Linked DNA regions of Arabidopsis thaliana. The protein of the gene in region 2 interacts with the protein of the main gene of each other region in a pairwise test. Each region holds a gene or a part of one and is shown on either strand. Other genes may lie near its edges.

What was found. Proteins that work in one complex are often made in the same cells at the same time.
Region 1: the proteins of XIK (region 2) and AT5G16720 interact in a two-hybrid assay, tested with the Arabidopsis thaliana proteins (one study listed by BioGRID).

What each region holds. Positions count from the first base shown.
Region 1 is NC_003076.8:5,491,617-5,497,890, reverse strand, and holds AT5G16720 (caldesmon-like protein (Protein of unknown function, DUF593)), read right to left. Parts: upstream 3,664-6,274; 5' UTR 3,583-3,663; coding exon 2,790-3,582; intron 2,701-2,789; coding exon 2,623-2,700; intron 2,486-2,622; coding exon 1,329-2,485; 3' UTR 1,045-1,328; downstream 1-1,044. Other genes in the region: AT5G16730 (weak chloroplast movement under blue light protein (DUF827)), read right to left, coding at 1-1; EMB2247 (protein EMBRYO DEFECTIVE 2247), read right to left, coding at 4,662-4,793, 4,923-5,089, 5,220-5,292, 5,397-5,498, 5,621-5,725, 6,033-6,180, 6,256-6,274. UniProt on the Arabidopsis thaliana protein: Membrane-anchored myosin receptors that define a distinct, plant-specific transport vesicle compartment.
Region 2 is NC_003076.8:6,933,820-6,940,305, forward strand, and holds the start of XIK (myosin family protein with Dil), read right to left. Parts: upstream 4,012-6,486; 5' UTR 3,562-4,011; coding exon 3,559-3,561; intron 2,746-3,558; exon of another isoform or gene 2,725-2,745; coding exon 2,596-2,724; intron 2,327-2,595; coding exon 2,183-2,326; intron 2,078-2,182; coding exon 1,932-2,077; intron 1,830-1,931; coding exon 1,673-1,829; intron 1,507-1,672; coding exon 1,448-1,506; intron 1,092-1,447; coding exon 932-1,091; intron 827-931; coding exon 677-826; intron 592-676; coding exon 455-591; intron 371-454; coding exon 224-370; intron 32-223; coding exon 1-31. Other genes in the region: AT5G20500 (Glutaredoxin family protein), read left to right, coding at 4,833-4,990, 5,359-5,432, 5,580-5,678, 5,770-5,846; AL5 (alfin-like 5), read right to left, coding at 6,172-6,456. UniProt on the Arabidopsis thaliana protein: Myosin heavy chain that is required for the cell cycle-regulated transport of various organelles and proteins for their segregation.

The sequences.
Region 1 (6,274 bases), 1.4 Mb from region 2:
TAACCGTCGATCGCTGTCACCGTCGCCACCACCGTCGCCACCACCGTCGCGCTCAGTTGATCAGAAATTCGATTGATAATTTTGCTGGAATTGGGACTCAATTTTCAGATCAAGAAAGAGAGAGAGAATGATTCGAATCGGTGGGATCGAAGTAACGGAGAATGATATAGATAATGGCAGGTGTGGTTGTCTCCAGAGTGGCCTCACTAACTCGTTAAAAAGAAGCTTATTTATTCTGCTACCGATCCGATGTATAAAAACAAAGAAACCACTAATAATCTAGCTTCATTAAATAATGGTAAAATAGAAATTAAGAGAACGTGAAGGTTGGTAAAATGACGATAATGACCCACACTCTTCTTTTGTCCAATCAAACTGACAGCGAAACTACCGTCACTCTCTTCTTCTTGTTCATATCATTGCGGCTTCTAACAAGATCAACGGTTCTTATTGTTCGTCATTTTCTTTTTTGTCAACGTTTCCGTGTTTCCTATTTATTATTATACGGTTGGTATATAAATGCGTTCATAAGAAATAAAATATATAAATCATTTTGGCAAAAATATTTGGTATGATTCAATGATTTTGTTTGGTAAAACTATACATTCTTCATTATATACTTCAAAATAAAACTATACAATTCATTACCATCAATCATTATCGCAAAGAAACTATTATTGTCATGATATATACTAGGTTTTATTTATTTATTTACATCTTATTTATTAGGAATGCAAAAGTAAAATGGGCATGTGACAATTGGTAAAGAACACATGAGATGAGACTAATGATTCCTTTATCTGCCCAAAGTATAATCATGACGTTTGTTTATGCAAATTAAAGCAATTTGGTGTTTGTTTATACGGTGGTTCGAGAATATCTAAAGCTTGGAAATCAAGGAAACGAAGAAGATCGATCCTCTTGAGAAGATATTAAACTTAGACCAAACGAAGAAACTCGTGTTCTGACTTTCCAATGGGCCTTCAATGTTTGGGCTAAATGGGCCAGAATTTATTTTCTTGGTAAGGAATGGGCCAGCTAAAGTTGCAGAACGAACCAGTTTTATGTGCCAATTATTTTCCAACTGAAAACTCTCATAAACTACAAGAAACACAGAATTTACATTGACAGATACAAATTCAATGACTAGTGTGTGTGAAACCTTTTGTTACACCAAACAAAAAAAGAAAACACAAACAAGAGACATCTAAGAATTTCTGTAATTCTCAGATCCTCCATTGAGCAGTGCAAAGACATTGATTCCGGCTTGAAATCTGTCTGAACAATGGTGTGAGAGAGAGTTCATATATAATTCTTGTGAATAAACATCACTCTTCCTGTGTCGTCTGGTTTTCAATTGTGTTAGTGAGTTCAATGGTTCTGAGATCGCGGAGATGTTGCAATATATCTTTAAGAATATCTGTTCCTTTGTCACCTTTCTTCGCTGAACTCATACAGTTTTTCAGAAACTCTCCATCTGTTTCCAGCTCCTGTAACCTCTCATAGACACTATCAACTTGTTTGATTATCTCCAGTTTCTCACTGTCCGAACCAAAGTTCTTTTCATCTGATTCTGGTAGTCCTTGAGACCCGTCTTCTGATTCGTTCTCTGCTGCGTCTAGAAGAGGTAGCAGACTCTTTGCCATTGATGCCATTGTTAGTCCTCCATGTCCATTACTCGCTTCTTCATAACTATTGCTGAATTCTCCCGGATCCTCAGCAGATTCCTTGTCCTGCATTGTTACTAGCCTATCCTCTAACACCTTAAGCTGATCCAAAATCACTAACCTCTCTTCCTCAAACTCTGATAAAGATTCACCAAGCATGCTCATATGTTGTACGCAATCTAATGTTATCTTCTCCAAATCCACATCCATCTCAGAAGAATTATCCTCTTCTCTATTCTCCTCCTCTTTATCATCATCATCAGCCTCACAATCGTTTTCCACAACGATGATCTTGTTCTTAGCTTTCGATTCATACTCCAAAACCTTTGCCCGATAAACCTCAAGTTCTCTCTGGAGTTGTTCCTTCTCTTTCTCTCGTTTCACCATCAAATGATTCAATAGCTGCAAGGCTTCTTGATCATACTCGGCTTGTTCCTCCATCATTCTCTGATACTGCAACGCTTCCATCTGAACTTTCGCTTTCTCTTCTTGTAGCCTCGTGATCATTGCCATTGTCTGGTTAGCCGATATTGCAGACGCGCTTCTTTCTTCTTCCAGCTCTGCATATAAATCTCTCAGTGCTTCTTGTTCTGCTCTCACTGTCTCTCTCAACCTTTCAATAGTCCTTAAAGGATCGCCACCGTCCATCTCACTCACTAATACATTCCCATCTCCTGCATCTTCAGCAGCTGCATACTCATTTCTAGCAAGAAAATGAAGTTTCTTGTTAAACAAAGTACTGACTGAAGTTGGAGTTTCCGGATCAAGCTCCTTAGTCGTTTCTTCTCTATCTTCTTCTTCTTCTTCGATTTGGCTACCTATGAAAGAAAACAACTATATTCAGACTTAAAGTGCTTCACAAAGTTAGATAAACCAAACCAAAGATGTATGCATATGTGCACAAGGCCTGCTTGAAGAGATTTTCGATAACAAAAGAGTCATTCTTTTTGCTTACCAGTGAAATTCTTGCTCTCAAACTGGTCATACAACAAATCTGCTACTCCTGTTTCTTCTTCTTTTTCTTCTACACGCCCTGTTGTTTGATCACAATGAGGAATCTATAAAACCCAGAAAACTAACACATATAAAGTTTCAGACTTTGGATTTATGTTCTTACTCTACCTGAAATTTGATCTTCCCCATATGTGGCAACATTGCTTGTGTCATCATTCCTTTGTTCATCCTCTGAAACTCTTGATTTAGCTTCGTTCCCAGGAGAATTATTGCTGATGATAGATCTTAACCCATCCTCTTCAGACACTTCTCTCAAGCTTAATCCATAACTCTCAACATCTGAAATCACTTCACCATTTTGCTGCTGGTCTTGCTTCTTTCCTTCTTCTGCTTTATCTCTGAAGAACCCTAAGGGATAAGATTCTCTATCTATCTCAAACCCATCTCCAAATTTATCATCATCGATCATCTCTAAGATCAATCCTCCATCTTCTCTGTCACCCAAAGTTTTCCCCCAAATTGATGACTTGAGAAGCAAGTAATTAGGGTATGGTTTATCCGCTAAGCTCTTCTGACAACATGTGCAAAAACCTAAACCAATGTTGCTCTGTTCTTCTTCGCGATTAGAGCAATCTGAGCATAAGTTCGCCGATTCGGATAATTTCCCGTGAGTTCTGCAAAAACTCAGACTAGCGAGCTCGGCGATGTGATTTTGACATAAAAGCTCTTTGTAAGTGAATCTGTTTTCTGGCTTTCGCTCGAAGATTCGATCTAGCTTCGGACAGAGAAGACATACTTGCTTAAGACCGAAGAAAGAGGCGAATTTGACGATAAAGTAAGTGAAAAAGGAATTGAGGAAGATAAAGAACATGAGAAGCCATTCAAGGAATGCGTAGACCAAGATTACGGTAATTCTATTGGTGTTTCTGCTTAGCTTCGTCGCAAAATTGTTGGCCGCCATTGATTTTGGCTCCTCTGCTTCCGACTGAGAGAAGAGAGAGAGAGAGAGAGAGAGAGAAGAGGAGAGAGTGAGAATGATGTTGTCGGGTTACATGCGCTAACGACGCTGTCTTTGTCTAGTTTCAAGTTGGTTTAGATCTGAACCGGAACTATAAACTAAACCGGAATAAGTTTTCCAACCTTAACCTCGATTTTTTGGTTAGCTTAAATAATAGTAGTACGTAACCTTTGAGAATTCAATGTTAATGAGAAAGTAGAGTAATTTTTTTCTAAACAGCAATGTTGTGTTTTGTATAATAAAAAAAACTCCATTTAACCATTTATGTTTAGTGACTTGGTTCACGGTTTGTTATCATTTTTCATGTGATTAAAAAAAAAAATAGGAAATTGGAGAGAGAAATTGGCTAAAGGCAAAAAGAGAGAGCGTGATGATGAAGATTTGGTTGTCAAAAGAAACATAAAAAAGGAAAAGGGAGGTTAAAGCGAGGTACAGTACTTCTTATTGCTTCTTTTGCTTTTAGGTATGGGTTTACTACTATTTTTTTTTTTTTTCCTGTCATTAGCTTTCTCTAATATTCGCCAAACGAAACTGCATCTCACTAAACCACAAGTTGTATCGAAACCATACGCCCAACCACCTAATAAATTTACCTAATAAAATGGTTATGGATTTTTCAATTTTGGAACAAAAACAAACTTTTGTGAAAAGAGCTATGTTGTTCTGATTACTGATTATTGGTACAAAATTTACCTAGTTGGTGAGGCTATTAAATAATAGTAAATACAATTGTAACATAACCAGCAAATATAATAAATTAATAATATATCCACTTTCTGCTGTCAAAATAAAATAAAAATAAAATCCACTTTCTGCTTAAAAGGCATTATGGGCCCCGACAATAGGACTGGTAAAATAGTTGACAATTGATCATTTTTGGGGGCATTTTCAAACTAATTGGGTCCTCAAAAAACAGAAATATTAATAGTAGGTAGTCTCATCGACTCAAATGATCACAATTAAATGGTCCATGGGCCGCTATTGGTCGGGTCCGAACTTGAGAGAATAAGAACTACCTGAATTTACTGAGACACTAAAGAAGTAGTAGACTTGAGAAAATCAAGCCTAGCTTTGGTCAACTTTATCTTCTCTTCTAATTCTTCTACTTGCTCCTTTACACCTCTCACCACTTCTTCTGGAGCTTTCTCCACAAACTACATATTTCAGCGTTAAAAATGTTGTAAAACAAGCAGAGTCTAAAACTAATGCACCATGTTTAATAAGCTTATCGAAAACAATTTCTAGCAAGGGTTTAAGAGACTCTTTTGATGGTTATGGTATACCTTTGGTGAACTGAGACGAGTTATGAGGGCGTCATATTCAGTTTGCATCTTGGAGAGACGTTTAGAAATGCGTTGGACTTCAGATGATATATCAACCATGGCTGCAAGAGGTAGATATGCCTCGAGTCCTTCACTGGCTACAAGGTGGACTGATAGATTTGCATCACCTGAAGGACCAACCATGTGAAGTTTTGTTGTGACCATGATGATTCAAGGGAATCATCGAAAATGTAAATATTGAGATAAGATGCAAACAATGAAAAGAAAAGAGAAAAAAAGGATTAAAGATAATTATACCAGGAGGGGCATTGGAAAAATGGACGTTGTTTAAGTCAAGCCTGGATAGAAGAGCTAATACCTCCTTCTCTTTCTGCACCGCCACAAGAACACAGTTTTTAATAAGGAAACACAAGGCAAACTGATGAACCTTATTCGTAAGATAATTTAACTGTTAGGAAGCCACAAGTTACTGACCGAAATATATTCAATGACCTCTGCACTTCCAACAACTGAGGCAGATATACGCTTTACTGGTTCCACTGAATACTCTGCTCGTGCATTTCGAATTGCTCTAGTCTGTGATTTAACAGGCAAGGTGTCAACATGCTCTGAACTTTTAATAGTATAAATATTAATTCCTTTAAGTATGGTTCTGTTTGAGGTTTACAGAATATATTAAGGTAAAAATTCATACTGACCAGAGCTTGTAAATTCTCAAATCTTTTTATTGATTCAACATTCCTTGGAAGTGAATTTTGTGGCCATGGAGACACAATGAGCGCTTCTTTCCTGTAGGGAAGTGCCTGCAATTATAAATGCATTCATAATTACAGTTTTATGAAGCTGAAATCATTTTTTGGTAGCAGTACCAAAGTATCAACCATATATAACTAAGTTTTCGGTCCTTTTATTTCATCCTCAAAAGAGGCTAAACTACCAAAAAAAAACTCAAAGATAACAGCTTAAGCATGCTTTGGTAAAAAAACGGCCACTACAAAAACTCTAAGGTATAAGGAAAATCATGCCCAGTGCAGTTGGCCTAAGTAAATGGTTAAGGGCCAATTTAAGTAAAAATGAAATACACAGATAGCAAAACTGAGAGCATGTTACCTGCCATAGATCCTCGGTTACAAACGGCATAAACGGATGCAACAGCTTAAGTATATTCTCAAAGACATATAACAAAACCGCCTGAGAAGCTAGAGAAACTGAATTGCCTCCAGATCCATACAGTCGAGATTTGCTGGCTTCAATATACCTTTAGAGTATACTAGTCAGTCAATTAAGTCCAAGAAACATGTGTATTGGTTATTAAGAGTTGACGTGGTGATACCAATCAGCAAAGTCACTCC
Region 2 (6,486 bases):
CCCGATGGAATTGTTAATTTTGTCAACAAGCCTGAAAACAAATTATACGGGTTTTAAAAAGTTGCAAAACTTCAAGTGGCAGATGAACTGAAATATTTCCATAAAGTAATTGAACACATTTCAAAGTGAAACATGCCCTCTATAGAAGAGTGAACTAAGTGAAACCAGAAAACAAATAAAACATAAGAACTGGAAAGTCTATAGAGAGAAAGTTTTTTTATACCAATCAAACAAGCGTGAATAGATAGTTTTTGCTAACGCATCCCTGCTACCCGTGGCTGAATCAGGATCAAGTGTTCTTGTAATAACCTCTTCTGGTGTCACCATTACACGTTTTATCAATGCATCTTCCATTTTCTTTGCATCACACCTTTTGAAAGAAGTGAGTCCACGATCAAAGATGTAAAAAGGAAACAAAATAGAAATCGAGATTAAACAAGTAAGTTGCACATACCTAAGAAGTTCAGCACATACATCAAGATGATATCTTGATTTCTCATCCTTCAAAACTGAGGAGTCAATCTCTTTTCCTTTTGCAAAATTGACATTACCTAGATGAAGGATTGCAGCAACAACTCTAAATATTGCATCCTGATAGCAATTATCAGAATGGTCAATAAGATGCTCTACCAGAGAAATCATTTCTTGTTGGAAAAGGAGTAAATGGAAGACTGACCTGTTCCTCTTCACTGATGCCAACAATATCCATAGCTCGTCGGGTAGCAAGATACTCCTCGGTGTCATCCACTCCATCCAGTTTATAGCACTTCGATTGATTTAGGTAGTGGAATAACTTAGGATCTCCCAACTTGAACTTTTCTCTTTCCTACAGATTGGGAAAATAAATGAAATCCACAACCACTTAATCATGTGATTTAAAGCAGAACGCCTAACAATAAGGTATATTGGCATCATTGTGTAGCACCAATACCTCAGGTGGGGCAGCACATAAAAGGTAAAAGCAGTGGTAATTTCTTTCAGGATCTGATATTTGACACACTCGAGACCTTTCCAACAAATATGTTCGCACAGCTGCTCCAGATATTCTCCCACAGTTGTCAAACTGAAGCTCGACAAACTTTCCAAATCGACTGCATTTTGATTGAAAATAAAAGTTACAATGAGGATATCTGCCTTGAAGCTTAAAATAACTCTATAGTACAATAATCAATCACGTACAAAAGTATTACTATTGAGTTGATTACTCTCTAACTTTACCGATAAAAAAGGCCAAGAGATTAGCATAGTTTATATGTGATTAATTTTTCTTATGTACCATCAGTGCAGTTGATGCCTTGGGGTTTGTTATATAGTTAGAAAACAAAATTGTGACAAGTGGTGACTGAGGAAGCTTTGAGCCAAAAACAACTTTGACTGTGCAACTAATGACAACTTTTCAAGAGAAAGATCCAAAGGAAAACCTCTAAGTGAACATACGCATACGTACCTGGAGTTGTTATTCCTGAGAGTTTTAGCGTTGCCAAAAGCTTCAAGAACTGGATTTGACTGTATACCATCAATAAAACCAAAATAGTGAATCAGGCTAGCATTACAAGCCTCTCTATAAACATATCAATGCAGTAACTAAAAGTATCTGTGTAAAGGCTTAGACTCTTCTCCATGACAAGCTTCAAAGCCAAGATAAAAGAAACATATTTTTTTGAAGCCTCACCTCCAGAACTTGCTGTTCCACTGTCCTTCCTTCAACGCCGGATCGACCACCAAGGTAAGCAAGGTAGCGCATAAGCATCTTTGTTGTCTCAGTCTTACCAGCACCACTTTCCCCACTTACCAGAATTGAGTTGCTCTTGCCCTCATTTATCATTGCCCTACCCAGAGAAGCAAAAGAGAATAGACTAGCATGAGAAATGTATGAATAAAGAGTGACTACGAGAATTTCTGCTAGTGGATCATTGATTGGGATTAATAACCTGTAAGCAACTTCTGCAATGGCAAACACATGGGGGCTTAGTTCCCCAAAGCCTGCTCCTTTGTACTGCTCCATCATATGAGTATCATAGAGATGTGGTAACCTTTGAAACGGATTTACAGCAATCAAGATGTTACCAGTATATGTCTGCGAACATATTTTAACGGAAATATTTAGGAATGTTTTCTACTGCTTAGGAACTCAGTAAGTGATTTCATAAGTAATCAGTGCAGAAAATGAATAACAACTTACATAAATTTCGTTCAACTCATATCTCATGGCCAAGTTATTCAAAACACCTGGTTCATGTAAATATGAGAGCTTTGTCATGTCATCAACACCCCCAGGGGGAGCCTCTGTATCCTTTGGAAATACGTTTGCGATATTGGCCACAACCTGAAATTAAATTTGATTGATTGATTGATACATAATCTGGTTTCAATGATTGTATAATATAATTATGAAATAGGGATGTCAATGTCATGCAAAACTCATATGTTAGAGGAGTAACACGGTATCCACAGGGAAAGGGGTTAGAGGACTAGTGACATTTTGTTCAAAGTTAAACAGACACCCTAAGCAGAAACACCCTATTCATTCCAGTGACATTATTTCTCAAAAGGAAATTTACATGCAAAAGCATGGGAGGAGGATAGACAACTTACGGTCTTCCCATTTGTGGTATGTGCATGAACTTCTTCGCCATTAATTTTGACAACTTCACCATCAATCCATGCCGCTCCAGGATCTTCAATCCAAACATGAGAACCAACTATTATATTGACTGGGCCAACCTACAAAAGATACAAATATTGAAGACGTGAGGTACAAAGATTTTAATAACCTCACACAAGCTGTTACATAAGTTCCTCTTTCAAATACCAAATATCATCAGTTCAAGCAGTTGAAATAGATGGCACCAGACATACGAACCTAAACCGAAAGTAACTAATGTTATAGATTAAAATTTCCCGCAAAACCAGGACAATAACACTGCCTATAATCTAGAGACAACACTCACTTAGAAACACAACAAAGATAGCATAACACTGCGCATTTCCCTCAGTTTCCTTCATTCTGGAAACTAAATCTTCAGCCTTTATATCAAATAAAACTTAGGTATATAAAAAAAAAATGGTCTCACCTGAAGAAGTTTCCTGATGAAACATATATATAAAGGGACAGTAATCTAACATAGAAGCTTACATAACCTCGTTACTAATAATAGAAGTAATCCAAAATGGTGAGAGCCGCTAAGTGAAATGTTAATAGGAAATGATAAGTCCACGAAATGAAATTTAAGATAACTGAAATGGTCCAACTTCAACTTGTTATAGAACTCTTGACCCTTACCTTTCAATAACACTGTATAATGTTCCCCAAAATAACAAAATTCAACTTTTCTACTATAGTTGGATTGAGAATCTCTCGTGTTAATGGGAAGACGAACTAGGGATCGAAAACAAAACGCAAACCTCATACAAAGATATCTCTACTAACGAACACCAAATCGGACAAGTGTTAAAAATGAATCCGTTTAATTGATTTAAATCCAACATAAACCCATTTGAGAAAATACAATAAGCAATTGAATAAAACGACGAGGATGATGATATCTATGATTTTACCATGGCTACTCCTTTTTTTCCAATAGATCCTCTCTCTTTTTCCCAGTTAACTCATCCAAGAGAGACCGATTTTGCAGAAAGCTGACTCAGCGAGTCAGGCAACAAGACGAGTCAGATCGGGCAGATTCTCTCGAGTTGGTGTGTCTGAGAAAAATTCTCCTTGAAGTCAGCTCAAAGCAGACACGGAGAAATCGGGAGATCGGAATTAACGGAGCCAAAATTCTTTTCAAAAAGCTGAATCTGAATGAATTTTTTAATCTCTCTCAAGAAAGCTGATTGATTGTTGAAGAAGCAGAATGAAAGAAAGCTAGACTTGGCCTTCTTCTTTCTTTGCAGACGACGTTCTCTAATGGCTTTTTTTTTTGTTTTTCTCTCTCCTCGAGCAACAACAATGTTCTCTTTTGAGCTGTGTGTCTTTCTCTCTCTAACACTTTTTTTTCTTAATTATTATTTGTGTATTGTTTTCAAACAAAAAAAATGTTGGTGCTTGAGAATTGAGATTGGTCAAGTGGGGTCCAATGAGGAGAAGGGAGGTGGATCGAGTTGGACATTCACATTCGTGGTCAGCCACCCACAACACTCTTTGAGTCTACACACAGACAACAACAAAGATTGTTTCGTAAATAAAAAAAACATTACTACATCTTTTGTTTTTGTCTCTGCCCTTTGAATTGCTCATTTTTACACTTTTATCCCCTTTTTTGTTTTAATTAAGACTAGTAAATTATGGCTAATTTGTCTTCGTTAGTGGATTGGTTAGATGTGGAAATATTTTAAAATTCTTACGAGCGTTTCTGTTTTTGAAATTCTCTTTTATAAAAAATATAGGATATAACTTGTGAAGAATGTTTACAAATGATTTGACTCATATATTCAAAATTGATGTGACACAAATATTAATTTTAGGTTTTGGGATGATGTATGATTTTCTTAGTTTAGCGGAAATCAAATTGAACCCGCAAGATAGTGTTAAGACGTCTAATACCAGCTTTGGTCATGTCATTATCATTATCATCCTTTATACTCCAAAAATGTTCTATGTTTTTGAAGCCCAGTAAAAAATAATTGTTTTTGTTAAGTTCACCCAATTTATGTAATAGTGGTTGGGCTGAAACAATAACCTTGATTTTGGGCTTTAATACGACCCTTATTTAGATGGGCCGGGTTAAACCGTACCCGCCACAACACACCTACACCTACTTTCCACAGTATCGATCCTGCAAGTCATCGTCTTCAATTGGCATCTGAAGAAGAAGAAGAAGAAGAAAGGAGCCATGACAATGTTTAGATCTATCTCCATGGTAATGCTGCTCGTCGCACTAGTTACATTCATTTCTATGGTTTCTTCTGCTGCTTCGTCCCCAGAAGCCGACTTTGTTAAGAAGACTATCTCTTCCCATAAGATCGTCATTTTCTCCAAATCCTACTGCCCGTATGTCTCTTTCTCTGCTCATGTTTAATCACTTTTTATCCGATTCGCAGAAAAATTGGATCTTGGGTGACTTCAATTTGCGATTTTGTTTTTTAGATCTTAATATCTGAAATATGAGTGAAAACTTGAACCCAATGAACTTGTATTCGTTAGATTTGGATTTTTATGAGACAACTTTGTTATCTCTGTTTACAAATGGTGGTTGAAATCAATATGGATTTTCGTTTAAGATATATTCAGGTTCAGTTCTCAGTATTTGTTCTCTTTGCTTTTCCTTTGGCCTTAATTGAGTTGTGTAGAGAGATCATGTACCTATGTATATGACTCATCTCTACTTTTCCTTTGCTTCCTTGTGGTTTGGTCAACAGCTACTGCAAGAAAGCTAAATCAGTGTTCAGAGAGCTGGATCAAGTTCCTTATGTTGTCGAGCTTGATGAAAGAGGTGTGTTTTAAGGTTAAAGGGAATCATGTCTTCATCATCCAACAATGTTTCTTAGCTCTCAGACATTTCTGTCATTTGAAACTTTGTCCGATCACTATGTAGAAGATTCATTTGTGACTAATGGTTGGTAAAAATTTGGTCTTGCAGAAGATGGTTGGAGCATCCAGACTGCACTTGGAGAGATTGTTGGAAGGCGAACAGTACCGCAAGTCTTCATTAACGGAAAACATCTCGGAGGATCAGATGGTATACTTAACACTCCTTTTCCTTCAACAAAACGTCTTTGCTTATGCCAACATTTGCTGATCGATAGATTTATCTTTGTTTCTGGTTATAGATACCGTAGATGCGTATGAGAGCGGTGAACTCGCCAAGCTTCTTGGTGTTTCCGGGAACAAAGAAGCTGAACTCTAGGTTATATATAGTTGGAAGAATTGATAACACTCTCTGTGATGCTTAGGTGTAAGCAATTCAATTTCCATTTGTATTGTGTTCTGCAGCTTGATCATGACCTTGTGACAGCTTGATCTTGCCTTTTAAACGTATCTTATCAAAGACCACATTCTGAGTTATACAAATTGGGTTGAGGAATCAAATCTGGACATGCTACAAATAACTTATCTGAACAACACACAAACTTTAAGTGCATTGTACTGTTTGGGGGATAAATAGAGAGTAGCTAAGACTAGTGGAAATAAAACAAAATAGATAGTAGCTAAGATTAGTGGAAATAAAACATCTAGGGTCGTGCTCTTTTGTTGCTGCAAGTAGGGCACTTGTAATGCTTGATATGCTCCGCTCTAGCTGGAGTGATCTTCACACACTCCCCGTGGAACCATTTCTCGCACATGTCACAGCAAATCCAGAATTCATCAGAAGCATAGTTATCTCCACATGCTCCACATAGGGTTTCACCGTGTTCGTCTTCATCCTCATCCTCTTCCTCTTCCCCTTCTTCTAACTCTAATCCTTCTTCCTCATCCTTGGCATGTATCGTCTTTGAACTTTTACTTTCTAAACCTCTCTGCATTCCAGATCAAGAAATGTATTAACT